Callithrix jacchus: one gene and its partners. The protein of the gene in region 5 purifies or fractionates together with the protein of the main gene of each other region. This does not show direct contact. Links are inferred from orthologs where the notes say so. Each region holds a gene or a part of one and is shown on either strand. Other genes may lie near its edges.

Evidence for each region.
Region 1: the proteins of COPS5 (region 5) and CDKN1B purify together in Homo sapiens (affinity purification with western blotting; 11 studies listed by BioGRID and IntAct, with this or other methods). This does not show direct contact. The link is inferred for Callithrix jacchus from reciprocal best matches to the Homo sapiens genes COPS5 and CDKN1B.
Region 2: the proteins of COPS5 (region 5) and JUN purify together in Homo sapiens (affinity purification with western blotting; 3 studies listed by BioGRID and IntAct, with this or other methods). This does not show direct contact. The link is inferred for Callithrix jacchus from reciprocal best matches to the Homo sapiens genes COPS5 and JUN.
Region 3: the proteins of COPS5 (region 5) and FBXO22 purify together in Homo sapiens (affinity purification with mass spectrometry; 3 studies listed by BioGRID and IntAct, with this or other methods). This does not show direct contact. The link is inferred for Callithrix jacchus from reciprocal best matches to the Homo sapiens genes COPS5 and FBXO22.
Region 4: the proteins of COPS5 (region 5) and KLHL42 purify together in Homo sapiens (affinity purification with mass spectrometry; 3 studies listed by BioGRID and IntAct, with this or other methods). This does not show direct contact. The link is inferred for Callithrix jacchus from reciprocal best matches to the Homo sapiens genes COPS5 and KLHL42.

The regions. Positions count from the first base shown.
Region 1 is NC_133510.1:10,588,194-10,594,472, forward strand, and holds the start of CDKN1B (cyclin-dependent kinase inhibitor 1B), read right to left. Parts: upstream 3,870-6,279; 5' UTR 3,394-3,869; coding exon 2,919-3,393; intron 2,406-2,918; coding exon 2,284-2,405; 3' UTR 2,276-2,283; intron 166-2,275; 3' UTR 1-165. UniProt on the Homo sapiens protein: Important regulator of cell cycle progression. Inhibits the kinase activity of CDK2 bound to cyclin A, but has little inhibitory activity on CDK2 bound to SPDYA. Involved in G1 arrest. Potent inhibitor of cyclin E- and cyclin A-CDK2 complexes.
Region 2 is NC_133508.1:95,862,880-95,869,144, forward strand, and holds JUN (transcription factor Jun), read right to left. Parts: upstream 3,870-6,265; 5' UTR 2,899-3,869; coding exon 1,894-2,898; 3' UTR 616-1,893; downstream 1-615. Other genes in the region: uncharacterized protein LOC128928178, read left to right, coding at 5,140-5,141. UniProt on the Homo sapiens protein: Transcription factor that recognizes and binds to the AP-1 consensus motif 5'-TGA[GC]TCA-3'.
Region 3 is NC_133509.1:25,093,466-25,099,807, forward strand, and holds the start of FBXO22 (F-box only protein 22), read right to left. Parts: upstream 3,870-6,342; 5' UTR 3,842-3,869; coding exon 3,699-3,841; intron 3,343-3,698; coding exon 3,204-3,342; intron 1-3,203. UniProt on the Homo sapiens protein: Substrate-recognition component of the SCF (SKP1-CUL1-F-box protein)-type E3 ubiquitin ligase complex that is implicated in the control of various cellular processes such as cell cycle control, transcriptional regulation, DNA damage repair, and apoptosis.
Region 4 is NC_133510.1:43,439,735-43,446,199, forward strand, and holds the start of KLHL42 (kelch-like protein 42), read right to left. Parts: upstream 3,870-6,465; 5' UTR 3,548-3,869; coding exon 2,676-3,547; intron 1-2,675. UniProt on the Homo sapiens protein: Substrate-specific adapter of a BCR (BTB-CUL3-RBX1) E3 ubiquitin-protein ligase complex required for mitotic progression and cytokinesis. The BCR(KLHL42) E3 ubiquitin ligase complex mediates the ubiquitination and subsequent degradation of KATNA1.
Region 5 is NC_133517.1:22,930,017-22,935,682, forward strand, and holds part of COPS5 (COP9 signalosome complex subunit 5), read right to left. Parts: intron 2,522-5,666; coding exon 2,410-2,521; intron 1-2,409. UniProt on the Homo sapiens protein: Probable protease subunit of the COP9 signalosome complex (CSN), a complex involved in various cellular and developmental processes.

The DNA of each region.
Region 1 (6,279 bases), on a different chromosome or scaffold from region 5:
AGAGTGCCTAAAATTTTAGTGTTATTGTGTTGTTGCTTCTCAGTGCTTATACAGGATGTCCATTCCATGAAGTCAGCGATATGTACTTTAAAAATTTTCACGTCTGTCTTCCTTGCTTCATCAAGCAGTGATGTATCTGATAAACAAGGAAACATATTCTTAATTCTGCAAAAGAAAACAAGACAGAATTAGAGGAAAACCACTAGAGTAACGTTTACAGGAATTATTTTGTCATTACGTTAGTGTGGAAATAAACTTGATGGGGAAAAACGTATGTACTCTAAGTCTGATGACTACTCATCTCCACCTAATATTCTCTTAACTGGATTTTTTTCCCTCTCCGATGCTGTGTACTTTTGTCTAGAGCAGTGGTTCTTAACAGTGGGCAGTGTTGCCCTTGCCCCCCAGGGAACATTTGGCAATGTCTGGAGACATTTTAGGTTGTCACACTGGGGGAGAAGATGCTGCTGGCATCTAGTGGGAAAGGCCAGAGATACTGCCAAACAATCTAAAACACACAGGGCAGTTTCCTACAACAAAGAATTACTCGGCCCAAAATGTCAGTAGTGCAGAGGTTGAGAAACCCTATCTAAAAAATCTAGGTCACAGACAAGTGGGAAAGAAACAGGAAAATTAGGAAACTGTAATAATTAAGGGTAAAAATTTACAAATTTTTTATTCATAAATTTATTTAAAAAATTAAATTTTCTTTAAATTAAAAAAATTTTTTTCTCTACTGTGACATATTAAATTTTCTAAATTTGAAAAATGATTAGGAATAAAAATTACAAAGGTCTTCCAGAAGAAAATTTTATTAACATCATTTTCAAAATATTTTTTTATTCATACACAGAATTTATTCATGAATCCTTCTGAGTAAGTTCTTACTAATATTTCTAGTATTCTTTGAACTGGCAATATTACTAACAAATGCCTCTCTGCGTGTCAGAATGGGGCCAGATCAAAATCCAGGTTTGATTCTCATGGCTCATCTGATGAGCTAGGTTACAAGTCACAAACCAACAGGAGTTGCGAGTGTCAAGGCTGCTTCGGGAAAATTTTCACCTAATTTTCTCACTTCATATGGTACTATGAAACAGGCTCTATAGTACCGTTCTGTATAAGCTCTGAAAAATACAAGGTATAGTGAAGTCGAATACACAATTTAAAGACACAACAAACCTGAATCCCACCTTAATCCCTGTTAAAATTTTTATAAATGAGGATTTAATAAGTTAACAATATTTATCAAGATCGCCTCATATGCTAAGCTATGTATGTGCTTTAAAAAAGAAAGAGGTCACAATCTTGGTCTATAAGACACTAAAAAACTTAATATGTATGTTAATTCGATAATTATGACTAGCTAATCCATGTACATTTGGGGGCTGAATTATTCAAATTAGCTATTAACGGTGATCAGATTGAGTACGGAAAAATCTCCACTTCCTTTGTGCTGGGTTGACCCACGGTCACCAGTCTTGATATTTACTACCCATTTCCCCTACAAATATCAAATCACCCTATTACAGCACAATTAGCATACACTGGCTGACCTGTTCACGGATTGCTTACTGACAGAGTTAATCTAACTTCTGCTTTGCAACTTGAGTGTTCCCAGAAATTGAGAAACTTTAGTAATTTTTTTATCTTTCCATTTTGCTTTTTGTAAATACTGATTCCTTCTCTCTACAAACTCTCTAGAACAGGGAAAGTGACCGTTTATGAAAATGTCAAAGACAGAACACAACATAACAACACCCTATTCACATCTCCAATCCCTTGCATCACCAAAGGTGAGCAATTTCTACCACATATTCCCCTCAAAATTTAAACTTAATTATGTATTTGCCATTTTTCCATGTATGGCTCAAAAATGTTACAGACTCAAACTGAACCTCTGGGAAATTAACTCTCATGAAGTGGGACTGAGGGAGTACCCCAATTCTTGTTCAGATGGGGAAAGAACTTATTGTTATATGTCTCAGTAGGACTCACAGAAAAATGCCCTTCCTACCCGACGGGGCCTTGGTTACAGTAGCTGCTCTGGTCTACTATTTCAAGAGAAAGTATCTTCGGGCAAAGAAACTTTGAAGAATTACAGTATCCCCACAGTGATTCCCAGCCTTCCCAATCGCTACTTTTTTGACCTCACGAAGTATAAACAAAACAAAACCCCACAGGCTTTTAATCTGCCAGCAAACAGTAAGATCAGGTGTCGTGGGTTCTGAAGGCCCTGGGTTTCAGTGCGTGCTCCTTTGCTGATCAAACCCACCGAACTGTTTACGTCTGACGTCTTCTGAGGCCAGGCTTCTTGGGCGTCTGCTCCACAGAACCGGCATTCGGGGAACCGTCTGAAACATTTTCTTCTGTTCTGTTGGCTCTTTTGTTTTGAGTAGAAGAATCTAAGAGTGGGGGAAATTTTTAAAAAGAACACACAATCTTTGTTAGAAAAAACAATGGATGCAGAAGTTGGCCCGATATTTAGGGGATGAAAAACCCACCACCTCCACCCACAATCCTGTATCCGTCATCCCAAATGGCCTTTAAGGGCACAAAATGAGGTTGTTTTCAAAAAACAGAAAGTGCATTCTCCGCCCCAGAGCGCTCTCGCTAGCCAGGAGGCGGACCATTGATAAACATCCCAACTTTGTCACATACCTAAGGCTGGCTAGTGGGAGGGACTGCGACGTCCTAAATTAGGGAAATTATCGGATCTTACCATCTCCAGTTTCTGACTTAAAAGTTACAAACAGACAAGCAGTGGGTCAGGTAGCACTGGAAACCTAAGACCAAAAAAGTTAGCCCTTCCAAAATTAAATCAGAATACGCCGGAAAACAAGCTGAGATTAACACCCTCCAGCAGGCAAAGCGGGCCCCCAGACACAAACAATCTACGGTTGGGAAGGGGCCATTACCGTCAGCTGCAGGTCGCTTCCTTATTCCTGCGCACTGCTCCGCTAACCCCGTCTGGCTGTCGGACGGATCAGTCTTTGGGTCTACCAAGTGCGTGTCCTCAGAGTTAGCCGGAGCCCCAATTAAAGGCGCCGCCGGGCGGCTCCCGCTGACATCCTGGCTCTCCTGAGCCGGCACCTTGCAGGCGCCTTTGGGGGGGCGCGGGGGTCTGTAGTAGAACTCGGGCAAGCTGCCCTTCTCCACCTCTTGCCACTCGTACTTGCCCTCCAGGGGCTTGTGATTCTGAAAATCGAAATTCCACTTGAGCTGGCTCGCCTCTTCCATGTCTCTGCAGTGCTTCTCCAAGTCCCGGGTTAACTCTTCGTGGTCCACCGGGCCGAAGAGGTTCCTGCAGGCCGAGGGCTTGGGGTGCTCCGCCTGCCTGGCGTCCATCCGCTCCAGGCTGGGGCTCCCGTTAGACATTCGCACGTTTGACATCTTCCCCCCGGGTCTGTACGGCCGCCTCTCTCGCACTCTCAAAAACACGAAACAAAACAAAACGCCCCTACGCAGCCCGAACCACACTCGGGAGCCCAGCGACTGCCCTCGGAGCCAAAAGACACGGACCCGGACGAGCCACGGCCCGAGCTACAGGAGCGCGCAGGGTCTGCGGGATGGGGCTGCGGAGAAGCCCCTGCCCAGCCGCCGAGTCTCCGCTGATCAAGTGGACTGGCGAGTGGGAGGGCGGGGAGGGGCGGGGAGGGGACCAGGCAAGCGGAGGGGGTGGCAAAGCCCGTCCGAGTCCGGGCGGTGCAAGCCCGCGGGTCCCGCGAACCCAGCCGCTCTCCAAACCTTGCCGGCGTCGGAGTCGCGGAGCCGTGAGCAAGCGGGGACAGGGGAGGGGGCGAAAAACACCCCGAAAAGACGAGCCCCCTTTTTTAGTGGCCCAATATGGCGGTGGAAGGGAGGCTGACGAAGAAGAAAATGATTGACACGGCTAGTCTATTTAAACAGAGGAGGAGATCCATTGGTTGCGGCGCCGGGAGCCGCCCCGCCGAGGCTGGCTAGCGCAGGCTTAAGGTGGCCCCGGCGCCGTTCCGCCTCCTCCCCGCGTTCCCGAGCGCGCCGCCTCCCCGAGCGCCGCCGGGACATTGGCTGGTCGCGTGACTGCTGGAGGTGTACTGCTGCCAACAAACCTGCTCTGGCTGGCCTCGGAGAAATTAAAATTAAGACAAACAAACTAGCCAAACGGCCGGGAAGCTGGGGCGGGGCCTGGGGTTCGGGGCCCGGCGCGGCGCCTAAGTCCCGACCTCCCGCTCCTTGCCCGGGAAGCCGGGGGCCTAGACCAGAGGACCTCGAAGGTCACCAGCAGCTCGCTTAGAGCCGAAGTGGCGAGCTGCCCCCAGCTCAACCTTCCCCAGTGGCCCCCACCTCGCGGCCTGTGGGGGAGGCCGTGGAGCGTTTGCTGGAGGGGCTGGGCACCGCCCCGGCCGGTTTGCCTTAGCTGGGGGTGGGTGGTAGTTCGCTCAGCCTTAATCCAGAAGTTTCTGCCATCCCTGGGGAGGTAGCAGGCCTAGGGAAGAAGCCAAGGCGAAGGTCTTTCTTTTAGAAATTAGCCAGGAGTAGACGCGGCACTTACCATAAACTCAAGCTCTCTCTCCATGAAAATTAAGAAAGGAACTCAAGATTTAAAAAAAAAAAAAACTCGAGTAGTCTCTCAAGTCCATTAATAAACGCTGTAGCTGTCCCAGACACATTCAGTTTTGAAAACCGAGGTTACACCCCTGGCCCAGGCTCTTGCTTCCCAAGCAGAGTTAAGGCCATGGACGTCGGCTGCGTGTGGGAACTGTCTCTCTCTACTTTTCAGTTCTTTCCCGGGATTGTAGCAGTTTCCTCTACCTGGGTCCAGCCGCCAAATACAACAGCTCCTTCCTTCCTCCACCCTTCTCTCTCACCAGATTTCACTGCTCCAACAAACTCAGAACAATATTCAGATGCTAGTGAATGCTTTCAGAGGGCTGAAGGGTGAAAATACTCCCCTCGGGGCCAAACTCCAGATGATGAAATGATTCTTAAAGCCACCAAACCATGTCCTAATGTCCGATATTCCAGCGTTTCTCTGCTCCCTTTTGCAGCTGGAAATTTCTCTCATTGTGGGCTTGAGCACCGTGGTGGAAGGTAAAGTAGGACGACGAGCAGGGCTGCCCTGAGACAAAGCTCAGTGGATCTTCAGCTGCTCTCCCCACCCCCATGCCCCGTACCCATCATCTCGGTTTGGGCCAAAGTTAATACATTTTGCTGGAAACCAACCTTCCGTTCTAGTATCACACGGCAGCCTAATTTTCTTATGCACCTATGCTACAGATGAACTTCATGTGTGGCTCGTTTTCTTAGCCACATCTTGTTTGTCCACTTTGTGTGCCTACCTCATCTCATACACTCCAGAATGTGACAGCTGGAAGGGACCTTCGGGACCCTGTGGTTTAACCCTCTCGTTTTTACCACGGAGGAAACTGAGACTCAGAGAGGTTTCCTGTCCAGGGACATGCATTCGGTTGGTAACGGATACAGGACTAGCTGCAGGTCTCCTACCACTCGGGTTGGTTCATTTTCTGTGCCTTTCCTTCCTGATGGTCCTCACTGGTTCAGGGTTTCGTCTGGGTTTGATTGTGCTGTAGTCTGCAGGTCCTGCTGTCTTACAAGTGACTCAAAATGGCTCCTTCCCAGGCCCTGGGTTGCCTGCAGATGTTTCCTTGATGCGACCTGTGGTCGCTGATATTTAAATGCAGCTGTCACAGTCCTTTGGTATCACCATCCACTAATTCAACTAAAATACAGACTCTAGAAAAACAGGGGTGATACCCAGAGAGCAGTAAAGGAGGCGTGCCTAAACTTAGTTTTAAAGTCAGGACTTCTACCTAAGTGACAGAAAAGAATTCACCTAGGATCAAGCAGGAGGTTTCATCCTCTTTATTTTTTCCACTTTCAATGCTCTCAATTTATTGAAGACTGGGAGAGAAGGGACAGGAAGATTAGGGTAGGCCTCACTGCCGTAATTTATACCTTACTCCCCAAATTAGATAGCTATCCTAATTTTAAAACAATTGCTAGACAATACAGGAACCCTCTATTATATATGTGCATTTATCCATATGCATAAACACCCAAACTCCCACATATATGTAAATGGACACATTCTAGAGTATTTCACCTTGCCACAGCAGTTTGATTTTACTCGTGGAATTCATGTCTTATATGAAAGTGGAAAATTAACACTTCGATCCCCTTCACATGCTGAATCTTTCAATTAAGATGTAGGAGCACCATTTTGTCGCTTTTTTTGTTGTTGTTAATCTCGACAAGTAAGCAAGTCACAGTCACGCC
Region 2 (6,265 bases), on a different chromosome or scaffold from region 5:
TTTGTGAAATATTCCTGGATATCACATTGCTTTTGCTGCCTGATAATCACACTGGCTCTTGGGATGAAAAGCAACCAAGCAAAAAATTGCTCCCTTGTTGAGCACTGCCTCGTTGATCTCCTAAGTTATATCTGTAGACAGAATTTAAGTTTCTCGTTTCCCAGAGCTGGGGTTTGATTTACACATGTAATCATTGTGTTGGTGTTCATGTTTTCTCTTGCGAATCTTTACCATAGTATTGGATTACTGTCTTTTGAGACTGATTCTCTAATTATTTAAACAAGGTTATTTTAGAAACAAATTAAGAAATAAACTATAGACAGATCTAAAATGCTAAACTGCTAGTTTCCTTAGACATAGGTGTTTATTTGGGGGTGAGGGGTGGTAGTAGAGAGAGAGACAGAGATGGAGAAAGGGCAGGGGGATTAATGAAATTGGGAAACTGTTTCATCCAGATCACCACTTCTAGTTTGACTTTCCCTAAATATTTTGCTTCTTAACTTACGAGTCACACTTCAGATTGCAGCAATGTTAACCTCAGCAACTGAAAAGAAATGCTTCAGTATGTAACTTGGGAAGAAAAAAGTAGTAAAGGGAAGCAATTCAAGATCGTTATTGGTATTTGAATACATTTATTGTGACAAGAATGCTGTTATAAATATTCATAAGCAAAGGCCATCTTTTTTATCTAGGAATTGTCAAAGAGAAGATTCCAAATTGGAAGGATACATTTTTTGTAAAATCTGCCACCTATTCTGGCTTTGAGAATAAGCATCTATTGTTAAATTTCTACTAACATTATAAATGGTCACAGCACATGCCACTTGATACAATCTCAAACTTTGAAATGTTTGAGTTCCCAGTGGGCCGTCCCTCTTCACTGCAACCCCCCAACCCGTTCTTCCAGCCTCCTGAAACATCGAACCATCCTTTGGTAAGCAATTCCATATAGACAGCTGGGGGAAGAGTATATAACCTGACCATAGCATCAGGTACATTTATTTCTAAAGTCTAATAGAGAACAGTTTTTACTGCTTGATAGTAAGAAGCACTGAGAGAGATTTTAATTGACATTCTTAACTTTCAACTCCACTTAGATAGCTAGTATCTATAGATGATGCAGAAAAGAGGTTAGGGGAGTACTTTTCAATAGTTTATTGCATTTTCTTAAATATCCTTTCTGGAATTTTCAGAAACAAAACATAAAAAAATTATATACTTTATTACAAATGGTAAACTCAGAGTGCTCCAAATCTCTTATTTACAAACAACACTGGGCAGGACACCCAAACAAACAAACAAGAAATAACTTACAAAGGCATGAAGCTGTTTATTGACAGTAATCAGCTTTCATCAAATTAAAAAAAATATATATGTACATACACAGTTAACGAAGGCAGGCCAGAAAGAGTTCATCTGCAGGCTCAGCCTCGCTCTCACAAACCTCCCTCCAGCCGCCCCTCCCCAACCCTCCCCCCCACGCTTTGTGTTCTTAAGGAGTACTACAGAAGCAATCTACAGTCTCTATTGCAGTTTGTAACCCCCTCCCCCTCCCCCCTTTAATACTGAATGAGATCGAATGTTAGGTCCATGCAGTTCTTGGTCAATGTTAACGAAAAGTCTAACGTTCCGTTCGCGCGGGGACAGCCCATCCGCAAAGCCGGGCAGCCCGCAGACGGCCGCTCCCTGGCTCCACGCCAAGGGAGTGCGCGCCAAGTCCTTCCCACTCGTGCACACTGGGGGCGCCGTCAGGACGCAACCCAGTCCAACTTGGATACCCTTGGCTTTAGTTCTCGGACACTTCTTTTTCCTCTCCGCTGCAACTTGTCAAGTTCTCAAGTCTGTCTCTGTTATTTTTTTCTCCGTTGCCCCTCAGTCCCCGACAGTCTCTCTTCAAAACGTTTGCAACTGCTGCGTTAGCATGAGTTGGCACCCACTGTTAACGTGGTTCATGACTTTCTGTTTAAGCTGTGCCACCTGTTCCCTGAGCATGTTGGCCGTGGACGCCAGCTCCGAGTTCTGAGCTTTCAAGGTTTTCACTTTTTCCTCCAGCCGGGCGATTCTCTCCAGCTTCCTTTTTCGGCACTTGGAGGCAGCGATGCGGTTCCTCATGCGCTTCCTCTCTGCCTTGATCCGCTCCTGGGACTCCATGTCGATGGGGGACAGGGGCGGCGTCTCGCCGGGCATCTCGGGCACTGTCTGAGGCTCCTCCTTCAGGGCCTGCAGTCGCGGGTGCTGCACCGGCATCTGCTGGGGCAAGTGGTGGGGCGGCTGCGGCGGCTGCTGCTGCTGCTGGGGTTGCGCGGGAAAGGCCAGGCCGGCCGCGCCGTAGGAGGGCGCCCCGCCGCCGCTGCTCAGCGCTCCGGGGTTGAAGTTGCTGAGGTTGGCGTAGACCGGCGGCTCGCTGTGCAGGCTGGCGCTGAAGCCGCCGCTGCCACTGCCCCCCGCCACCGAGGCCACCGCGGGAGCCACCATGCCCGCCCCGCTGACCGGCTGCGCCGCCGACGTGACGCTGGGATGTGTGTTCTGGCTGTGCAGCTCGGCCAGGGCGCGCACGAAACCCTCGGCGAAGCCCTCCTGCTCGTCTGTCACGTTCTTGGGGCACAAGAACTGGGTGGGGGTCGGCGTGGTGGTAATGTGCCCATTGCTGGACTGGATGATGAGGCGCTCCAGCTCGGGAGACGCCAGCTTGAGCAGCCCCACGTCGGGCGAGGTGAGGAGGTCCGAGTTCTTGGCGCGAAGGTGCGGCTTCAGGCTCCCCACTGGGTCGGCCAGGTTCAGGGTCATACTCTGTTTCAGGATCTTGGGGTTACTGTAGCCATAAGCTCCGCTCTCGGACTGGAGGAACGAGGCGTTGAGGGCATCGTCATAGAAGGTCGTTTCCATCTTTGCAGTCATAGAACAGTCCGTCACTTCACGTGAGGTTAGTTTGGGCTGCGCGCAGAAGTTTCGGGGCCGCAACAGCGCTCTGGCAAGCGGGGTACACCCGCGTCCCCCCGGGCCTTTGGCGGGGAAAGTTTCTCTAAGAGCGTGCGCGCCTGCTGGCAGTCGTCCCCGCTGCGCCCTACTCACCAACTCGCTCCTGGGAGCGCAGGGTTAATTAAGATGCCTCCCGCACTCTTACTTGTTGGCTCGCGCGCGCTGCCCGGCTTTGAAAAGTCGCGGTCACTCACTGAGCGATCTTCGGTCGCAGCGGTTCCTCGGAGCCCGCGGGCGAACTCACTTCCAGGAGCGGCGGTTCTCCCAGAGGCGCGGATCAGTGCGGACCCCGCAGTGGCCAGCCGGCGGCGGGTCTCGGCCGCCCGGACTCCGACGACTTGTCCCCTCCTCCGCTGCGAGGGGGAGGGGGCGCCCGGCAGCCGCGGCTTGCGCTCGCCCAAGTTCAGCAACCAGTGCGAGCGAAGCTGAGCGCACGTCCTTCTCTCGCGCGTCTCTCCAACGCCTTTTGGTCTTTACCGCCGTCGAGCAGCCTAAGGCGCAGGAAAGGCTTGCAAAAGTTCGCTCCGGGACTCTGGGCCACTTGGCCCGGGTCCTCCCAGCCGGGAAAGTTCTTTGCCGCTGCAGCCGCTCGCCGACGTCCCCCGGCGGGCGCGTGGGTACCGCTGCTCTCCGCCGCTGTCAGCAGCGCTTGGGCAGCGGGGTTCTTCTCCCGGGGGCGGCTGGAGACCAGGCTCTCCCCGCACTCCTCGAAACACCAGCCCCGGAGCCACAGGCGCTAGCTCTGGGCAGTTGGAGAGAAGATGGAAAAGAAAAGATTTGCAGCTCGGACTCTACTGCAGTCCTGGCTGTCTGGCTGTGTCTGTCTGTCTGCCTGAGACCGCGCACCTCCACTCCCGCCTTGCTGCTTCAGCCACACTCAGTGCAACTCTGAGCCCTTATCCAGCCCGAGCTCAACACTTATCTGCTACCAGTCAACCCCTAAAAATAGCCCATGATGTCACCCCAAGGCTTTCCCATTGGCTCGCGTCGCTCTCAGGGGGGCGGGCCCGCCCGTCGCCATGGAGACTCCACCCTAGAAGATTCTTCTCTAGGCCCGCGGAGGCTCACGGGATGAGGTAATGCTCCGTTGCCCTCCTACAGTCGGTCCCTTCTTTCTCCTCCCCTCCCCCTGCCGCACGCCTCTCGGCCCTCTCTTCCCTGGTCTCCTCCCCCGGCCGTTTTTGCTGGCCCGCCCGGTGCATTGTGGGCTGACGTCTTGGGGTTTGACTGTCTAGTGACGGTGGCTGCCGCGAGCGGGCGGACGCTCGCAACGTCTCTGGGGTGGGGGGGGGCGCTCAAGTTCACGGCTCCGGACAGGGATGCAGAGATGCAGGGGATAAGGGGACGCGGGAGGCCAGGGAACCCGGCCAGTTGTTGGGGGCCAAGGGTGCGGGCGAGGGGTGGTTGGGGTTTCTCCACTTGTGGGGCTCGAAGTCATCCGCCGGCGTCTGCCACCGCGCGGGGCAGGAGGCTGAGAATCCAAGTCTGTGGCCCCCCCCGCGCACTTCCGGGGGCGGGAGCACCGCCCTTAAGGTGGCTCTGTGAAGTCCCAGTTGGGGGCGAGCCTAAGGGCGCTTAAGTTTGGGGGCGGTCTCGCGAGAGTCGGCCCCCCAAGTTGAGAACGCTCGGAACTTTGTCTTGGTCTAGTTCAGGAGCGATGGTCCGCGGGGTCGTCTGGCTGCTCATAGAAGCCGAGAAATTTGTATTGCCCGAAACTGAACGCTCAGCTGAGTCTCCGTTGCACCTCTCTTCATCCTCCGGGGACGCGGGGGTTCATAGCTTTGCCTTGGAGGGGCAGTTTTTATAGTGAGAGCAATTAGTGGGTAACAGGGTCCAGATGGGAACAAGCATGTAGGCAATCCGAAACTTGGGGAAGCCCGGTGTTAGTATACTCCCCCTCCCGCCCCCGGACAACACGCACACGCTTAACACAGCACGCTCAACACACAGGCGCGCGCGCGCACACACACACACACACACACACACACTCCATCTGCGCCGTGTTGCTTCCGGGAAAACAAGCCCAGAAGGCGGCGGACGCTCGCATAAAGTCACGCAGTAGAACTCGGAGCCCGGGATAGAACCTGGACTTCAAATCTCTGCACTCCGGGCCGGGTTGTGGGCCCATATCCTGGGTAGCCTCTAGGAAGCGCTAGACACATGTAAGTGGTTCCTTTTCCGCGGTTGTTATTTTATCTCCCCACCACCCCCCCCGCCCCCACTCCTTAGGGACGAAAGTGTGTGGTGGAAAGAATCTTGAAGTCGGGAATCCTGGTTCTTTCGTGGCCAGGCTGCCACAGTGCGGAACGAGGAAATCATGGAACTTCTCTGAGCTTCATGTCCCTCATCTGCCGGTGGGGCCGATGCAGTATACCTCCCTGGGCTGCCAGGAGTTAGTGTGACAGGGTCGCCTACAGGACTAGGGAGGTGGTGGCCAAACAGCCCGCTTCCCTCCCCTGCCTCGCAGTTTCCATCCTCACAGAAGTCTAAACGGAATGCCAGGATATAAGAGTGCGATTTGGCAGGACCAGGTGTACTTTCCTGTGAGAAGCATCAGGGGGAGGAGGAGGGGGGAACAGGGTTAGAAGTCAGCTCTTTCCCAGGCCTCTGTCTAGAACTGGGGCTTGAAGTTGGACCTGCAGCAGTTTAAAGTTCTTAGGTTCTAAATTCGGACTTCACTGCTTCTGAACTTGGAATTCAGCCTTGGGTTCATTGCCCCCAGCCCTAAGGTATTTGCGGCTTTGAGTGTTCAGAAACCAACAGCAGCTGGTATCAGTGGGAAACCTGCCAACTTTTCTTCGCTCCGGGCACTCACCTAGCTTTCAGTGATCTGCAGAGGGTAACTGAAAGCCTACTGTGAGCCAGGCACTGAACTGGGGAGGGGGTGGGGTAGGTATACAGTGATAGCAAGATCCAGTTACTTCCCTCAAGGGGAGAACATTCTCCTTCTGTCTGTTGCTCTGAATCATTTTCTGTTGTAATAAGGGAGCTGTTGTTCTAAATTTTTTTATAACAGTAATAAAAGTAAGTTTCATGTATTAAACACTTATCTGCCAGGCATTCTCCTAAGCAATTTAAATATGCTGTTTTCTCCCCACAGCCGTCTTGAGAGACATATATTTTTATCCGGATTTGACATGTGAGGAAATAGGCCCAGAGAGGTTAAGTATCCTTGTTCAGGTCACACAGGCAGCTGGAAATTGACCTCAGGTCTGTGTTACATTCCCTTGTATTTTCTCTACTCTGGTAAACTTTCTTGTGAAGTATTAGTTATCTGCAGAGGAAA
Region 3 (6,342 bases), on a different chromosome or scaffold from region 5:
GTGGCCACAAACTGGGAAAATAACCCGCATCAAACTTTTAGGCCTCAGGTTTCCTATTCCTGATTAAAAGTCTGGTCCTGAGATTTTATGAGTTTCCCTTTCTAGCAGCCACTGAAAAGCAATTGCTGAATTTTCCTTCCTAATTCACACTAGAAGCAGTGACATAACAAGCCTCAATATGAAATGTTCTCAAAGCACAGTGTAAGAAAGCTAGCACCACATTTCACTGTTCAAAGAAGTTACAAATGGCAAGCTGTTTTATAAAGCTTTTGGTGGACTTGCACCACCACACCCATATTTTTGTAGTTTAATATTTTTATTTATATATTTAATATTTTTTCAATATTTTAATATTTTAAATATTTATATTAATATTTTTAGTGGAGACAGGGTTTCACCATGTTGGCCAGGCTGGTCTCAAACTCCTGACTTCAAGTGATCTGCCTGCCTCAGCTTTCCAAAGTGTTGCGATTTCAGGTGTGAGTCACTGTGCCCAGTGGACTTAAAATATTTTTAATAGAAAAGTTAAATCAACTTTCTTTATGGCTATAAACGTACCCATTGTCCACTAGATAACTTGGAAAACACAATCAGTAAGTGTGATTTAAGCAGAGTTTTCGTGTGTTTGTCTCACCAGCAGTTTACTACAATGCAGCACTCCTCTAAGGGCATTACTGAACTCTGTGAAGTTTAATAATGATACTAATAAAAGTATTTAATAGACCTCTATTGAGCACTTATACTCCCTGTACTATAGGTAATGTGTCATATGCATTACATTTTCATTATTGAATCCTTACAACAACTCTATAAGAGCACAGGAAAATTATTATTTTTCTTTTCATTTTATGGAGATGGCACCCGAGGCTCAGAGAGGTTAAGTAGCGTTTTCAAAGTCATCCCACTGTACACCAAAGCTAGGGTTCACAGCTAAGTCTGTCCGGCTATACAGCCACTACAATGTATAAACTCTTAAACCTACAGGAAAATAATGCCTGCTGGGGTAAAAATCTGAAAACGATGACAACGGAGAGAAAAGTTTTTAAAACATTAAATAGAAACAAAAGCTAACATTCTGGCTTTCTTTTCTACTCTCTTTTTTGTCTTTAACAATGCAGATGATACTAAATATGTAATTTCCCAGTCTTTTCACTTTTAAAATCAACATTTTCTCGTCATGAATGTACTTGCAGTTTATAATTTAATAACGTCATTACATTAACATTAGCTTTTTAGTATCTCTTATTATAAATGATGCTCCAGAGAATATTTTTGAGGAAAAGTCTGCCTGTACTTTTAATTTTTCCAAATGATAAACTTCTGGAAAGAGATGGCAAGAGTTGGGACAAAGTGCCAGAGAAGAAAAGTTTTCTAACAAGCCTGCCTTTGGATACTGGCCAGCTCCCTGGGATGAGAGTTCCAGAGCCCAAACAGGGTAAGGAGAAAGACCACCCAAGGAAGGGGGAAACAGAAGATTGGTTACGTATGGGGCATTGATGTAATACCTAAATACATTAAGAATGATGAGAACCAGGTTTCCCATTGCCCAAAGGGAGATACAGATACGAGCAGAGACAAAACTAGAAAGCATCCTGCGTTTGATTCGAAAGGTTGCACCTGTGTGAACTCATGAGTTTCCACACAGAAATATAGTTGTACACATGTGTATACATATATGCTGATTATATACACACATATGCATGTATATACATATATTCCTTGGCTCTAATGACTGAGCTTTGGAGCAGCAAATCCTTCAATGGCAAGGAGTACATTTAGAGAATCTAGATCTTGATTGCTAAATATCACACTCTATCAAAAGGAGCCAGGGTTTCATGGACAAATGGCCAATGCCAGGACCCAAGCAGGTAAAACCCAAGACAAGCTTAGAACACCTTGTGCCAGACAAGTGGTCAAAGATAAAGGAGTCATCTCTAAAGACAATGAGGTCAGCCTGAAGGAGCTCCCCCTAGCCAAACTGGCGTTGGGGGTCCGGGGTAAACTGAACACTAAAATAAATACTCACAGTAACAGATTATATCCCACTGAAATAAGACTTGGAGAGTGTGTACAGATATAAATAAACGAATAGGAAACACGACACTTACATAGTTTCAAATTATCTCTTCAAAAAACACTTAATCATTACAGAAGTGATTTTAGTGAAGAGACTTGGCCGGTACAACCTTAATCGAGTAATCAAAGGTTGTATCACCAATAAAGAGACAAATGGAAATCACATGCCACCTAAAGGATGCCGTGAAAAGAGCACAGCATGACTTCTGTGATTATTTCCTGCCAAACCTAGTAAGAAACACAACCTAGTAAGAAACCTCACACACTGCCAACTGATGGATGTTCTACAAAATAGCCTGTAATTTTCCTAAGTGTCAGGCTTGGGAAAAATCAAGCAAAGCTTGAGAAACTGTTCCAGATCAAAGGAGATTAAAGAAACATGACTTATTTAGAGCAACTTGCAATTGAGAACAGACCTTTTTTGCCATGAAGAACCTTACTGAGACAACTGGCAAAACCTGAACCGAGTCTGAGGATAAAACAGACGAAGTCTATCAGTGATAATTTCCTGATTATGACGGCTGCACCGTGGCTATGTTTGTAAGCCGCAGGAAACTAAAAAGAATGACAGAGCATCAGATTGGCACTTCACTGTCAAATGGCGCCCTCCCACTCCTCAGAGAGATGGTACACCCTGCAGCCCCTCTGACTCCACAGTCCGAGTCTTTACCTCTCCAGGTATTGGCTCCCCTTTTGAAGTTGGGGGCCAGAGAAGCCAAAGAGTACAGGATCGGGAGTTGAAATATTTGGCTTTAAGTTTTGGTTCTTGGCTTTCTAGGTGTGCTACACTGAGCAAAACACACCCAGTTGCCTTCCCAGTAAAACAGACACAACAAAAACTTGCTTCAAGGGAAGCAGGTGGAGATAAGGTTCTGCACATCGTTGTTGTTAATGGAAACAACGGAAACAATGGAAAATGTGGATTATAAGGCACAACATTTGATGAACGGTCAAATAAATCATGACACATTCTTACAGTGTAGTCACTAAAACTAATGTTCACAAATTTTTTTCACGGCACGAGATGTTCCTTGAATTAACAAAACTGGGATTAAAAAAAAAAATAGTTCTCAAAGACTGAACCACCAACCTGCAATTGACTGTGCATGACACCCCTTGCTACTTGCCTCAAGCTCCTCGGCTACCACGCGAACCAAGCAATGCCTCTCCAGGTGGCCGGCATCCGCCAGGCCTGCGGAGATCCAGGTCAAGCTCCGATGGGTCCGCAACACTCGGCGCACACACTCTCTCCATAAGCGGCACACGCTGGGGACGCAAACGCACAAAAGATCGCGAATGGACGTTCATTTTCGTCTCTCCCACGGCTCACAAACCCCCACCTGCAGGCGCAGCAGCAAGAGATCTCTGCGGGAACCGAAGCCCCCGGGGGAAGTAGGTATCAGGGCGCTGGTCAGTTGTGGAGAAAACCTTAAGGGGAACTTCACTCCTCAGGGAAGTCCCGGGGGCTCTACAGCTGGAAGATACCTCGCGGGTGGAGGTCACCTCAGTTAGGGCGAAGGAGCCGGGGGTGGTCCTGGGTCCCCAGGGTCTCTCCCCACCCCGCCAGCCTGGGATATGCCCACAGCGTGTCCCGATGCAAGCTTCCCGCCTCCCCTCCTCACCAGGCCACCCGCAGCAATGCCTTGGCGGGTAGGAAGGTGAGCACACGCTCCACCACCTCCGCCAGGTTACTCAACACGAAGGTGCTCCGTGGGTCTACCGAGGAGGAGCCGCAGCTGTCGCCGCAGCCACCCACCGGCTCCATTCCTCACCAGCCCGCCGGAACCAGTCCTACGGCGGCTCGGAGGGACCCAGTTTCGCCGGCACACGATTGCCCGGCCGGCGCGCACTGAGCAGGCGCCCGCACCACTTCCGCCTGACGGAGAAGGTGGGAGTGGCAACGCGGGTGCGACCCCTGGCCACCGTGTTTCCGGTGCAGGTCCTGGAGCCCTTGCTCTGAAGTTGAAGTTATCCGTCCCATAATACGCCCGAAATTTTTTTTTTTTTTTTTCATTAAGATTGGGTCTCGCTGTGGCAAGGCGGGAGTGGAGTGGCGCGGCCTCTGCTCACTGTAGCTTCTACCTCCCAGGCTCAAGCGAGCCTCCTGGCTCAGTCTCCCTCGTAACTTGGACTACAGACTCCCGCCACCATGCCCAGCTAATTTTTGTATTTTTTGTAGAGACGGGTTTCGCTGTGCTTACCAGGGTGGTCTCAAACTCCAGGGCTCAAGCGATCCTCCCGCCTGCGCCTCCCAAGATGTTGCAATTACAGGCATGAATGAGCCACGGTGCTGGGCAACTTTCTAGGAGGCTTCCTGCAGTGAAGATAAATTCTTTCTCTGTGCCTCTCACTTCCCCGGCACCGCCATATTTCTGAGCCTACATCTTTCTCTAATTCACAGATTCCTTGCAGGGACTAGGTAGTACTTACCCCAAAGCCTGTTTAAATAGCATAAACTCAATTTTTGAACTGACAGCGTTTGCTTTTAAAAAATTGTCTTAGTGTGTGAAAATCACTGCCTTTATTCCTTGTAAACTTAATTAACTCGTTGTCATCTTCAGGTTTAAAGTTTTGAATGAGTAAAATGGCATAAATAGCACCTGCCATTCTAAGGAAGTTAAGTAAGATAATTGCAGTGAAGCACGCCCCAAGCTGTGCACCAGTTCCCCGCCAGTAACATCTGATTCACCTGGGAACTATTAAGTTTTGGCACGTTCCCAGTCCTTAACCCCGACCTCCTGAATCAGACACTGGGGGTGAGGTCCAGCAATCTATGTTTTAACAAACTTTATAGCGATTCTAATGCATGCTCAAACTGAGAACCACAGAAGATATGGAAGCACAGCAGACACGGGTGCGTCCCCACCGAACATCCATTTCTCCCTCCAATTCCTTCCTAAGGGAGCCCTGATTTGATCGCCAGAACTTGAGTAGAAACTTGGTCTAAATTAGCGGTTCTCATTATTGCCTCAGGACCCTTTACGCCTAAAATATCCACACGACCAAATAGTTTTGTGTTACGATTATCAATATTTACCATATTAAAAAAATTAAATCATCTTAATACTTTTAAAAAACATGTTACCCCTTAACAAAATATTTTTGTGGAATTCAACTATTTCCCAAATCTTCCTTCCCCCCGCAACTGGTAAATAGGGTGACACTGTCACTGGTATAAGCCTCTTGAACAGCTGTGGCTTTTTTTTTTTTTTTTTTTTTTTGGTAGACATAGAGAAAGTTCTCTCTGTTGCCCAGGCTGGTCTCTAACTCCTGGCCTCAAAATATCCCTCTGCCTCCACCTCCCAAAGCGTTGGGATTCCAGGTATGAGCCACCAAGCCCAGCCAGTTTTTTTTAAGTCTATAGGCACAGCTACTTAAGGAAGCCAGGTGGCCTAGTTATCACCAAAGCTTCCTGACCCCTTGCCAAATACCAGAAGATAAACAGGCAACCTCCAGTTACCTTTGGATCATTAACATTATAATGCTGAAATCCTCTCCCCTGAAGGAAGATCACTGGCATCTTAGCAGCATGTTCAGGGACTGGGCCTGCTTGTCTGCAACTCCAGCCTGCGCATGCCCTTCATACCACCGCCCCCCTCGCCCCCCGCTAGGCCAACTCTTTCAACTCCCCCGCCTCCCATCCTTCTGGAAAAAGGTGCCTTTAGAGGGTTAGCTCCCCTTCTCCATTCTCTGGCTACTGAATGAAACCCGATTGCCATTCTGAGTAGACATTCTTTCTTTGTGGCTGATGTAAAGTAGGGAAAGAGGACAGTTTATAGTTCCTTCTGTCTTAAGACAGGTAGATTCTCTTGTTTGCTTCTGAATTCAGTCTGTTGCAAAATTACATCACGTAGCCTCTGGAAAACTCCATTGTACACTCGTGAAGGAATGAGTGAAAATAGCAAATGTTTTAATATTATGAAAATAGTCTTTTAAAACTTAAAATTGTCTCAGGGGTCTCCAGTGTTCCCCACCAAATCACACTTTAAGAACCATTTGTGCAACTAATCATGATGGTTTCATTCTTTTCACCAGCCATTGGTTTGGGGGTAGGCGCAGGCCCCTGATCTAACCAAGGAAAAGTGAGAGGCAGTGTGCTTGATGGGATGGTGCTTTTAGAGATTTCCTCACCTCCTAAGGAGATACTAAAAGGCAGGCATTATCTGTCTCTGGATCAAGTAATGTGGCTGCATATATGCCACCAAAAGATGAAACCAACATAGAAAAAAATCTCAAGGAAGCAGAGCAAAACCCATATGTACAGTT
Region 4 (6,465 bases), on a different chromosome or scaffold from region 5:
CCTGCCTAAGCCTCCCAAGTAGCTGGGACTACAGGCATGAACCACTGCACCCAGCTTCAACAAAACTTGAGACATGCATACACTTTGCCCTACTTATCCAGGGATTCCACAAATTGGACATATGAAACCAACCCACATATGCCTACTAAGATACACAATGCATCTACCAGGATGTTCAATATGGCAATGGTTATTGAAACAGCTAATGCAAATGGAAGTGACCTAAATGTTCATAAATAAGGGAAAGGCTGACCACATTATGGTACATCCCTAGGCTGGAATGCCATACAGTCATTAAAGAGTGAGGTAGATCTACATTTGTTGACACAGAAAACAATTCTCAGATATGGTTAAGTGGAAATATCAAGTGCCATAATAGTTAGTACAACCTAGTCAATTTTAGAATTTAAAAAACGTGTAAGTTAATATGCATACCCCCATGCACATTAATATACATAAATACTTTTCCCCTATTGCTAACCACTATCAACATACTTATACAGCTGGCCCTTTCACAACACAGGTTTGAACTGAGAGGGTCCACCCATATTCAGATTGTCTTCTGCCTCTGCCACCCAAGACGGCAAAACCAACCCCTCTTCTACCTCCTTCTCCTCCTCAGCCTATGTAACATGAAGAGGATGAGGATGATCCACTTCTACTTAATTTTCTCTTCCTTAGAGTTTTAAATAACATTTTATTTTCTATAACATACTCTATTGTTAGAATGAAGTATATAATACATATACAAAACATGTTAATTAAGTTATTGGTAAGGCGTCTGGTCAACAGGCTATTTAGTAGTTGAGTTTTGGGAGAGTTAAAAGTTATATAGGGATTTTGTACTATGCAGGGCTGGTGTCCCTAGCCCCCACATTGTTTAAGGGTTAACTGTATTTATATTAAGTATATATATAATTTACAAATATAAATGTTTATACATTTATAGTATCTAAAGGTAACAAAAGTCTGTTGATAACAGTCTTTTTTTTTTTTTTCTTTCTGTACCCTGAGAGCAGACATTTACTCTACACTTTTTTGGTGTAATTTGCAGTTTTTCTGAGAAGCATGCATTCATGCATTACTTGAATGCTTTTTTTTTAAGGGGATGAAAAGGGCCTTCCCAGAAAAAAAGACAAAGACTACCAAGGATGTATGAAGGGAAGAAGAAATGTGAGGTACTGTGACACTAAGGATGGCCTGGTGAGCACCAAATGATATGCAGCTGGAGGCAAGTGCAAAAGGAGACAGAGAACTCAGGACTGTCCACCCTTACTCAGACCACCGCCTATAGCCACACAATGTTCCTTTGTTGTTTAAATTACAGCGCATAGAATTTGTTTTAAAATAACCCTCCTGATACCAAATTTTAAACATGGCATCATCTCAACGGCGTAAATAATGCATTAAAAATGGGCTGGCAGGAAATACGTCAACCTGCAGTTACTGCCTCTAGGAGGAGCGAGTAGGAATATTCATCTTTTTGCTTCTTCATTGTTTTTCATTTTCTAGTTTTCTGCAACTATATATTATCAGGCAAAAAAAAAAAGCATACTTTTCAAAATGAATTTCATATTATAGGAGAAAGCAAGCCAGTTATTTCCCCAAATGATCCCTGGCGTAGGAGGACCCTCAAGTCCAATAGATATATAATGGCTTCACTGTTACTGTTAAGACTTTCTTTGCCTAGCTATGAGTTCCCCAACTCCTTGCTCCACACTTCAGGACCAGGATCCTGTGAGGACTGAGGTGGAAACAGGTGGATGGTAAGAAAGGGTATTTTCATCCTTTCTTGAGATACATGGATTCTTTTCCCCGCTTCCGAATGACTCTGAGGCCTCCTGGGTGCTACCATCTTTATTTCCTACCATCTCTTCCTGTATATGCTCTTTGCTCTTGTTTTCATATTCTTTCCCTGGTTCCTTTCCCTTCTCCCCTCTCATCCCACTCCCCAAGCTCCTCCTCTTCCTTTCTTCAAGCCACCCAAGTTGGTGGCAGGAAGGATTCGCAGGATGGGAGAGGGAGAAGATTGGATTAATGAAAATGTTCCAATTCTGAAGTTGAACACTTCCAGCCTCGAGCTTTGGGTCAGTGATGATGGCTGTCCAGGGAAGGAAGCAAAAGAGAGGATAAAATAAGAAAAGCAACCCCTACTGCAAATATAAACACATTTCCCGTAATTATCTCTTGATCATGGCTGGATGTCACAGTGTGGAAGGCTCTGTTGTCATAGTCACTGACAACAGAAAAACAAAACAAAACCCGAAGTCAGTGTTACAGGTTACTGTCCAATGTATCATTATCATCAGGCTCACACCCTAAAAACTAAGACAAAACTTCTTTTCAATTAAGGAGTAACTTTCTTTTAAAGTAATTCTTGTAGGAAACCACAACATCTTTTTTCACAAGGACAGAGCCACAGAAAGCAGTTTCACTTAAAGGCACAATACCTGCCAAAAAACCACTCAGCTACTTGACCTCACTGGGGACTTCCTCTTTGCAATTTCTTAGTTCACCGGGAATTTTGCCAGGACTAAGGCCAACAACATTCCTGAAGATGTCATTTCCACCTCAGCACACCCTCCCCTATTTACTGGCTCAGTAAACACGGGGGCAATGAACTAATGAACAAGTGAATGAATGAGAAGGCATCAGCACTCTGCCGGGGTGCTTACCTCTTCTGGTTCATGGAGGCCACCTGGAGCCATTCGTTGGTGCTGGGGTTGTAGGAGTGCGCAGCGGAGATCTCCTGGCTGGTGATCCTGTACCCGCCCACTATGAAGAGGTAGTTGTCCAGGATGGCGGACCCATAGCCCCTGACATTGACCAGGTCGGGAGGAAGGTTGTTGGCCAGCGGGAACCAACGCTCAGTCATCTCCTCGTACCTGAGCATGGACGGGGGCTCCCCCTGGTAGGGGTGAGGGGCCAGGGGTCCCCCCAGGAAGTCACCAAGGGCCACGAGGACAGGAGTCCCAGTCATCCGGGCCTCCCTCAGCCTCTGCTTCAGGCTGACATCCCCTGGGGCTTGGGGAGGAGATCCCAGAAGGTGGAACTGGGGCTTGCACAGCACCTCGTGGAAGTGGACGACCATGAAGCGCAGGCAGGCCTCCTGCAGGTCGGGCAGCCCGTACACCTGCGCCAGGCGGTACATCTCCAGGCAGTTGTTAAGCCGCACCTGGGACAGCAGCAGCTGCAGCAGGGACGTGACCTGCAGGAAGGAGGCCGCCTCCACCAGCTCGGACAGCAGGCTCACCTCGTCCATCTCCTCGTCCTCGTCCACCCCGCCGCCCTTCTCCCCTCGCGGGTCCAGAAGCCAGCCTTCGCGGGCCCCACCGGCGTTGATGAAGTCCAGGACCAGACGCAGGCCTGGCGCGCTGAGGCCGCGCAGCTGCTGCACCTCCGGGCCGCCTGCTTCCTGGCTCAGGGCCTCGCGCATGCCGGAGCGGTAGAGGGCGCGGAAGTAGTCGCTCTGCTCGATAAGTTTCCTCTTGCTCACCGGATAGCAGCGGTCCTCCAGGCGGATCTGCACCATCTCCTCGGCCGACATGGCTGGGAGCCCCGAGGCGGCGGCGCTCACCGCCAGATCTGCGCGCTGGCCTCCCCGCCCCCACGCGCGCGCCGGTTCCGGGTGGGGCGCCGAGGGATGGCGGCCCGGGAGGAGCAGCGAGGTGAGGGCAACCCGCGCTCGCCCGGCCTCTCCGGCGGCCCCTCCTCCCGGGGCCCACTCCCGCGAGGCGGCGGCCCTGCCCTTCTTTCTCTCAGCGCCAAAAAAGGGCGGGCGCAGCGCGCCGGGCGTCTTCACGCTGGCTCTCCCGAGCGGCGCCAGGCGGGAAGGGAATCCTAGCCCTCAGCCCGCAGCCTCCTCCCCCGCCGCCCTTCTCACTTCCGCCCGCGGGACCCCAGCCGCCAGCCTGACCCGTTGGCTGCATCCGGCCTCTGGGAAGCCGGAGAGGTTAAGGGACGCGCGCCGGGGGAAGCGGGAGGCGGACGGCGCGCGTCCTCGCAACTTCTCCGCACGCCTGGGGCGCGCCGGCTCCGCCGCCTGCCCAGGTCTGCAGCGATGCTCCGGGGTATCCCCGGAAGAAGAAATCAAGTTTGTTTTCTCTCCCACGCTGCGTTACAGGGGCTAAGGAAAAGGCAATGAGCGTAGGAGGAAAGGGAAGGAGAGGGAGTCTGGTTCAGGGAGACAAAAGGCATCAAATGCGAGGTCACCCTTTCGCCCCATCGAGTGTCAGTGGGCTGAGGCACGCAGGCGATCTGTGGACATGCTTGTGGCACGTATAGCTGATTCTCTGGCAGGGTCGTCGCGTAGGAGCCATCTTACAGGAGTTCCACGCAGATGGCAGCAGGTTCTCAGAAGAATCGGGTTGGGAGGCAGGGGAGCTTGCATTTGCTGGTGGGGCCCGTTATTCGGTCCCTAAGTTATTTAAAGAAAGATGAAAGCGCAGCCCAAATAAAGTTACATCAGGCTTCTGGTTTTAAACCATGTTTTCCACGAGCCATTGCTTTTCTACTTAAGTCTGGCTGAACTATCTATTACGGAATGTTATCCTGGCGCAGGTCTGACAAAATTGGCTCATGGTTGTCTGCAGAGGTAGCTTTTCTTGTCACCCCCTTTCTCCACCTACCCTGCCCCCATCATCTGAGAACTATTAAGAGAGAGCACACGTGCAGTTTGGCCAAGGAACCCTAGCACTCTGGGAGGCCGAAGCGGGCGGATCATGAGGTCAGCAATTAAGAGACCAGCCTGGCCAACGTGGTGAAACCCTGTCTCTACTAAAAATACAAAAATTAGCCGGACGTGGTGGCAGGTGCCTGTGATCCCAGCTACTCGGGAGGCTGAGGCAGGAGAATTGCTTAAATCCGGGAGGCAGAGGTTGCAGTGAGCCGAGATCGTGCCACTGTACTCCACCATGGGCGACAGAGCAAGACTTCGTCTCGGAAAAGACAAACCACTTGTTTCCTATGTTCGCTCACTGAACATTGTAATTAGAAGGCCCACCCCAAATAATAATAGGAAGGGCTTTTTGTGTTGCTTATGAATTGATCTCAGGAAGAGGGTGGGGGAGAAATATATTGTTAGGGTTATCTTTGGGTAGGAAAAGAGAGAGCAGGATTGGGAGGATGCAGAGGGTGTTCACTCTTAACTTACAAAACAAAAACAGAAAACCTTGAAAACTTCCCCCAAACCAACATTTGAGAACCACCTATGATAAACAGTTCTTAACTTGGAGAGAATATGTATTTGGATTTTTTATTATTATTACAAGCTTCAGCTTTCTTCCTGAATGACAGGTTGTTAAATAATATCTTATTTAAAAAGTACATTTCCCCTATTTAAAGAAGATACATCCTACCATGTTATGTTAGGAAGAGGAAACGGTTAAAAAAAAAAACGGAAGAGGCCGGGCGCCATGGCTCAAGCCTGTAATCCCAGCACTTTGGGAGGCCGAGGAGGGTGGATCACGAAGTCAACAGATCGAGACCATCCTGGTCAACATGGTGAAACCCCGTCTCTACTAAAAATACAAAAAAATTAGCTGGACATGGTGGCGCGCGCCTGTAGTCCCAGCTACTCAGGAGGCTGAGGCAGGAGAATTGCCTGAACCCAGGAGGCGGTGGTTCCGGTGAGCTGGGATCGTGCCATTGCACTCCAGCCTGGGTAACAGCGAAACTCCGTCTCAAAAAAAAAAAACAGAGAAGTAAGTTGTAGGTGATATCCTTGCAACACAGTTTGGTTACATTCATGCTTCTCACTGTCATTTAACTGCTTCACAGAGAGGTGTTATCTTTATTATTATTATTACTTTGGAAAGGAAGTTTGTCTTTTTATTTTGGGGGGGGAAATGCATTTTTTTTTTTTCCATAGAGACAGGGCCTTGCTACCTTGCCCAGGCTAACCTCAAACTCCTGGCCCCAAGGGATCCTGCCACCCCAAGTGATCCTTCTGCCTTGGCCTCCCAAAGCACTACTGTGCCTGGCCTATTTTCCTTATAATAATGCTAGAAATAAGGAACTAAAAAATAAAAGACATATAAAATTTTCTATATTTTCTGGCCTCCCTGGAATAAATGAAGGAAATAAAAATGGATCTATGACTTATTCAGTTGTTTTCTTGGATTCTATTAAAAAATATGCATCTCTTCCCCTGGTTTCACCTGGCCTTTAAGTCGTTACTGATAAAACTCCATTTTCACACCAACCCTTCACACTTCCATTCTCTATGAGGGTGCAGTGAGGCATGATAAGCTTTGGAGCAGGAGATGGAGTGGGTGATCATGGATTTAGCAACTTCGTCGGGATGGTAGAGTATAACATCCAGTTTTAAGCGTCAGGCTGGGGAACTTTTGCTGGGAGGCGCCCCCTGTATCAGAGGCTTGGACCTACGATTTATCTGTGCCTCAACCAGCAACAATGCCAGATTCAGTGGGTCAGCCACAAAGAACAGGCTCTCAGTCTCTCCTC
Region 5 (5,666 bases):
ACTTCAGCCTGGGCAACAGAGTGAGACCCTGTCTCAAAAAAAGAGAGAGAGAAAAAAAGAAAGAACAGAGAGCTTGTCAGAGTTCTATTTAAAATAATAAAAAATACACTGCTTCACTTGACTAGCCTAAAAAAAGAACAGTTAAATAATAGGCTAAAGTGAGGTATTTTTCCATGCATATAATGCACCAAATAAAAAAAAATTAATGAGGCTTTATCATATGCCAGACACTTTGCTAATTGCTTTATATAAAGTAGCCCATTTAATTTTCTCAGAGTACTTAATGATGTATGTAGTATATCACCATTTTACAACAAAGAAATGCTTAGTTACATTAAATAACTTTCTGAAAGTCGCTCAGAACTAGTAAAGTGGCAGAGTTGTTTTCAAAGTCAATTTTATTTTTTAGGATATCATTTGCTTATTATACAAGAGAGACATGGAAATTATTTATATAATTAAGTATTTCAGAACTTACGTGCAATGAGCGGCTTCATGTTGATGGCATTTCATTAGTGATTTACTTTAGTCTACATACTTTCTAAGAATGTCAGCATCTCTAAATAATCTGGCTGGGCATGGTGGCTCACAGCCTGTAATGCTAGCACTTTGGGAAGCCAATGTGGGCAGACTGCTGAAACCCAGGAGTTCAATGCCAGCTTGGGCAACATGGCAAAGCCCTGTCTCTACAAAAAAAATACAAAAATTAGCCGGGTGTGGTGGCTCACCCCTATAGTCCCAGCTACTTGGGAAGCTGAGGCGAGAGGACTGCTTGAGCCTGGGAGGCTGAGGCTGCAGTGAGCCAAGATTGTACCACCACACTCCAGCCTGTATGACAGGGACCCTGTCTCAAAAAACGAAACGAAAACACAATCCTTGGCTTTCCAGGTCAACTGAATAAACCTAAAGAATGGCAAAGTAGTTCTTTACTTTGGTGCTTTGGTACCTCCATATTCAGGGAGAATAATTCTTTATCTCTTACTTTCACATTAACTGGTTGAATCCACCTTTTCCTTGAAAGCGTGATCCAACAGCTACTACTGTTGCTTGCAATGCTTTACCTTAAGATTTTTCTGGAAGCATAATGCCTTCTTTAGTTCCAGCTTCAGCTGTACTCCTTTCAACCAATACTTGATCAAAGAGCGTAAGAAACTTCTAAGTGATGGTCCTACTATGACTCCTGCTGCTGTAGCTCATATTCTCCAAGCCCAGTTTATTTTATTCTAAATCCTATGGTTCTAACTACTATATATACTGCAGTATATGAAATGGCCTGCTTTTTTAGAAAAGTAAAAAAATTGTTCCTAAGTTCTATATATAGAGAAGCTGATTAAATATCCTTCCAAATATTTTGGGTTTTTATATTATCAGAAAAAATTCAGTGACCTCTTTTTTTTTTTCCCTCCCAGCATCTACTGCTTTAAGGTAATGCTATTCTGATTCCCTTTGGGAACCTCTCCTTCCCCGTTTTTAGTACTTGAGCTACTGAAGGAGTTTTCTACACTGTGGCCCAGCAGTAAAGCACTTGCCATGGCCAAAGCCATTCATCAGGCTTATTCAGTTGGCCTTAAAATGGGCATGTGATTAAGTAAAGCCAGTCAGACACAATGAAATTTTGCATGGGGGTGTGTGTCTGTGTGTATGTGTGTGTGTGTGTCCTAAAAATGGGCATGTGATTAAGTAAAGCCAGTCAGACACAATGAAGTTTTGACTGGGAGAGAGAGAGAGGGTGGGGGGGGGGGGGAGAGAGAGAGAGAGAGAGAGAGAGAGAGAGAGAGAGAGAGAGAGAGTGTGTGTGTGTGTGTGTGTGTGTGTGTGTGTGTGTGTATCTTGACCATCTCTTTCTTTGAACATGAAACTGAGAGGCCTGGAGGTCTAAAGCTAAAGCTGCTGTCTTGCTTTCACATGAAGCCTGAAACTAGCAGTAACTAAGATGAAATCAATGCTAAGAGAGAAAAAACACAAGATCTCATAATATTGTTTGAATGAAAACTTAGCTGTGCCTAAGTTAAGCCTTATTCCTCAACTTTGCAACTTACGCAGTTCTCTTTCTTAAGCTAATTTCATTAGGTGTCGTGTTACTTGCAACCAGACTCCAAGCTGAGACACCTGATACACAAAAATCAATATTTGTATATTTTTTATCCATAAATCTCCTTATGGCAGGAGCAGATCTCACCCTGATCTGGCCACTCTATTTGCTACTTAGACTTTGTCTCTATGGGTCATGACAAAAATCTTGAATTGGCCTAGCATCCTAATCCCACTCTGGTGGTGCAGAATCTCACCTCAGCCTTGGTGTCTTGGCCAAGTTAGGTACTGCCTTTCTGTGAAACAGTGTTTCAGATATTAAATGGCTAAGTAGCTTAGATAAAATTCAAATGCATTCCTTGCAAGTATAATACTTACAGTAAGCAAGCTAGAGGAACTCAATGTATTCACCCAGTATTTATTCCACAACAGCTCGAGCAATTTTCGATCCAAAGAGGATTTGAAATATGAGACCTCTAAGGCATAATATCTATGAAATAAAAGCACAAAATTTAGTAAGTGAAAAAAAATTCAACTACATCACATAAAAGTTATGGCCAAATTTAAGTGAATTATACTTTATTCTCAAATTATCCCTTATTCTCATGTTTTAGTTTTTATTCCAACAAGGTAATAGCTAACCATGGTTTCTTTACACTTCAAGGGTTGTGGATCCAAATCTTCTACTAAACATCCTTGTTTTATTCCTTTTATTTCTGTAGAGCCCAGAAATTCCCAAGATGTTATTAACCAGTCAAAACTTCTGAATGACAAGTTTATTCCTGTTGCTGAAAAATTGAAGCCAACAGCACATAAATTTAATGAGCTGCCTCTCTAGGGTAAATTATAATTTTTGTTAGCCACTTTAAAATAATAAAAATCTCATGTGGATTTGTTTCCCTTTCTAGTTCCCTATTTAGGACCTACTGCATTTTGGAAAATCAAATTTTTTAGGTAGGTCCTTAAGGCATCTAAAAAAATTGCTCCCACTTTCAAAGGTGCCTAATTTATCATCAGGGCATAGTAAGAAAAATCTAGAAGTTAAATGTCTGAAAATGCATTTTTTAAAAATTTAAACTATCTCAGTTGCTTCCGTGTAACAATGGATATAAAAAAGCATAAGAGACATCTTTACCTTGAGGAAGTCACCATTTATATGGGGGATGTGGTCTAAACCCACCAAAACATTAAATGTAATGATGTACATTGAATAACAATAAGTGATGCTATAGTGCTATATAAAATGAACCATCCACCAACTAAGGGTTAGAGATAATAAGTACTCTTCATGTAGAGGAGCTCAAGTGATCATCTGGAGCTAGAATTGCCTGAGAAGTCTCAGGGAAAAGGCAAGGTGTAGGGTAACCATTTATGAATCTATCGTATGGATATGTGAGAGCAAGGGGGACATTAGGCAGAGAGCATCAACACACAAAAAGGAAAGACATGTAAGGGATAATAAGGTAATGGGTTTAGCTGGACAATTTAGCAAGAGAAGAATTATGTGAGGGGAAGCTAGAAAGCTGGGGTCTAGGTGGCGGAGGATGTTACATAAAAGGTTAAGAATTTTTTTTTTTTGAGACAAAGTCTTGTTCTGTCACCCAGGCTACAGTGCAGTGGAATGATCTTGGCTCACTGCAACCTCTGCCTCCTGGGTTCAAGTAATTCTCCTGTCTCAGCCTCCCAAACAGCTAGGACAGGCGCCCACCACCACCATGCCCGGCTAATTTTTTTATTTTTAGTAGAGATGGGGTTTTACCGTATTGGTCAGACTGGTCTCAAACTCCTGACCTAAGGTGATCTGCCTGCCTTGGCCTCCCAAAGTGCTGGGATTACAGGTGTGAGCCACCACAGCCGGCCAAAAGGTAAGAAATTTAGACTTTATCCTTTGGATAACTGGGACTCATGGAAAGTGCTTGAGTAGAATGGAAGGTACTTTAGCAGATTAATAATACAGTCAAAGGGGTGTTTTATAGAAGCCTGGCTGTGGCAGTACCATCAGGACATGTTACAGGAGAGAAACTGGAGGCAGGGATTCCACAAAGAAAGCCACTGCAGCAGAGCAGATGAGAAGAGACAGAGGTTCAGACTCAGAGATTAGTGGTGCAAAAGATAAAGACACATAGGTACCCCTTGTAAAACAGAATGCTTTTCTTCAGCCAGAGTCTTGCTCTGTCACTTAGGCTGGAGTGCAGTGGCGCAATCTGGGTTCACTGCAGCGTCTACCTCCCAGGTTCAAGCGAATGTCCTGTGTAGCTCCTGAGTAGCTGGGATCACAGGCATCTGCCAACATGCCCAGCTAATTTTTTGTACTTTTAGCAGAGATGAGGTTTCACCATGTTATCCAGGCTGGTCTCGAACTCCTGACCTCAAGTGATGCACCCACCTCAGATCCAAAGTGCAAGAATGCTTACTGATTAAATTTTAGCAATGAAGAAATATAATGAATTAAGCAGAATAAATTAAATAAAACATAAAGACATCAGGATGGGCACGGTGGCTCATGCCTGTAATTCCATAATCCCAGCTAGAAAACTAGCTGCCCCCTCTTTGGTAGACTCATAGTTCAGAGTGGCAAGGGAAGGTATTTGCCAAAAGAAAGTTATTTAATGCATGGTATGCAACAAGATCTTTAAAAAAATGTTATTTAAGAAAGAAAGGATAAACCAACAGAATAGACAAATGGGGACAGTAGATCTGCTCGAATACAGAAAACATAAAGCATTTCAATCTTTTTTGTTTCAAAGGATAAATCTTTGATACCACTATAACTCAAATAAAAAATAATTGAGAGTTCCTCTGAAGATTAAAGTATCACAGCAAAGGTGTTTCCAGGCTTAGGAGCAATTCTCTCAAACAGGAATTATTTAAATTCTTTTTAATAGGGCAAATTAAATAATGAACACTAAATCTCTATGTGAATATATATTTGTTTAGTTGGGCATGGTAGTGTGCTTGTAGTCCTTGAGCAACCTAGTGAGACTCTGCCTCGAATAAAAAAACACGAACCAAAAAGGAAGAAAAGATCATTGTATTTACAGAAATAAGTCAGAGATTACTGAAAACCACATATAATTAAAATTTCAATTTTAGAAATTCTAGAATTTTCTAAGAATCTCTAAATAGAAAAATAAGTGCAGTAGCAGCACATGGGTAGCCAAAGTATTCTTTGAAGTTACAATAAGTGGTATAGAGAAAAGGGGGCACTAGATAATCACTTATTCATTTAAGCAGTAATTTTTTTGGTGCCTACTCTGCTGTGTGCCATGCCCTGTTTTAAACGCAAGGATACGCAGTTCACATTCTAAAGGGGTCAAAAAAAAAAAAAAAAAAAGAAGCAAAAACATCAGATGGTTGCAAGTGCTAAGAAGAAAAAGTAGGGAAAGAGGAAACAGAAGGTGTTATTTTCCATAGGGTGACTTATGAACATTTTCTATTATGATGACCCTGCAAACAGATACTCAATGCTTAGTTAGCGAGCCACATGGAAATAAGGGAGAACGCTCTAGGCAAAGGGAACAGCAAGTGTCAGGGCCCTGAGCCAGGAGCCTGGTGGCACATTTGACAAACCATAAGGAAGTCAATATGGCTGGATCGAAGATCAGCAAAAGTTCAGTGACAAGAGATGAGTTCAC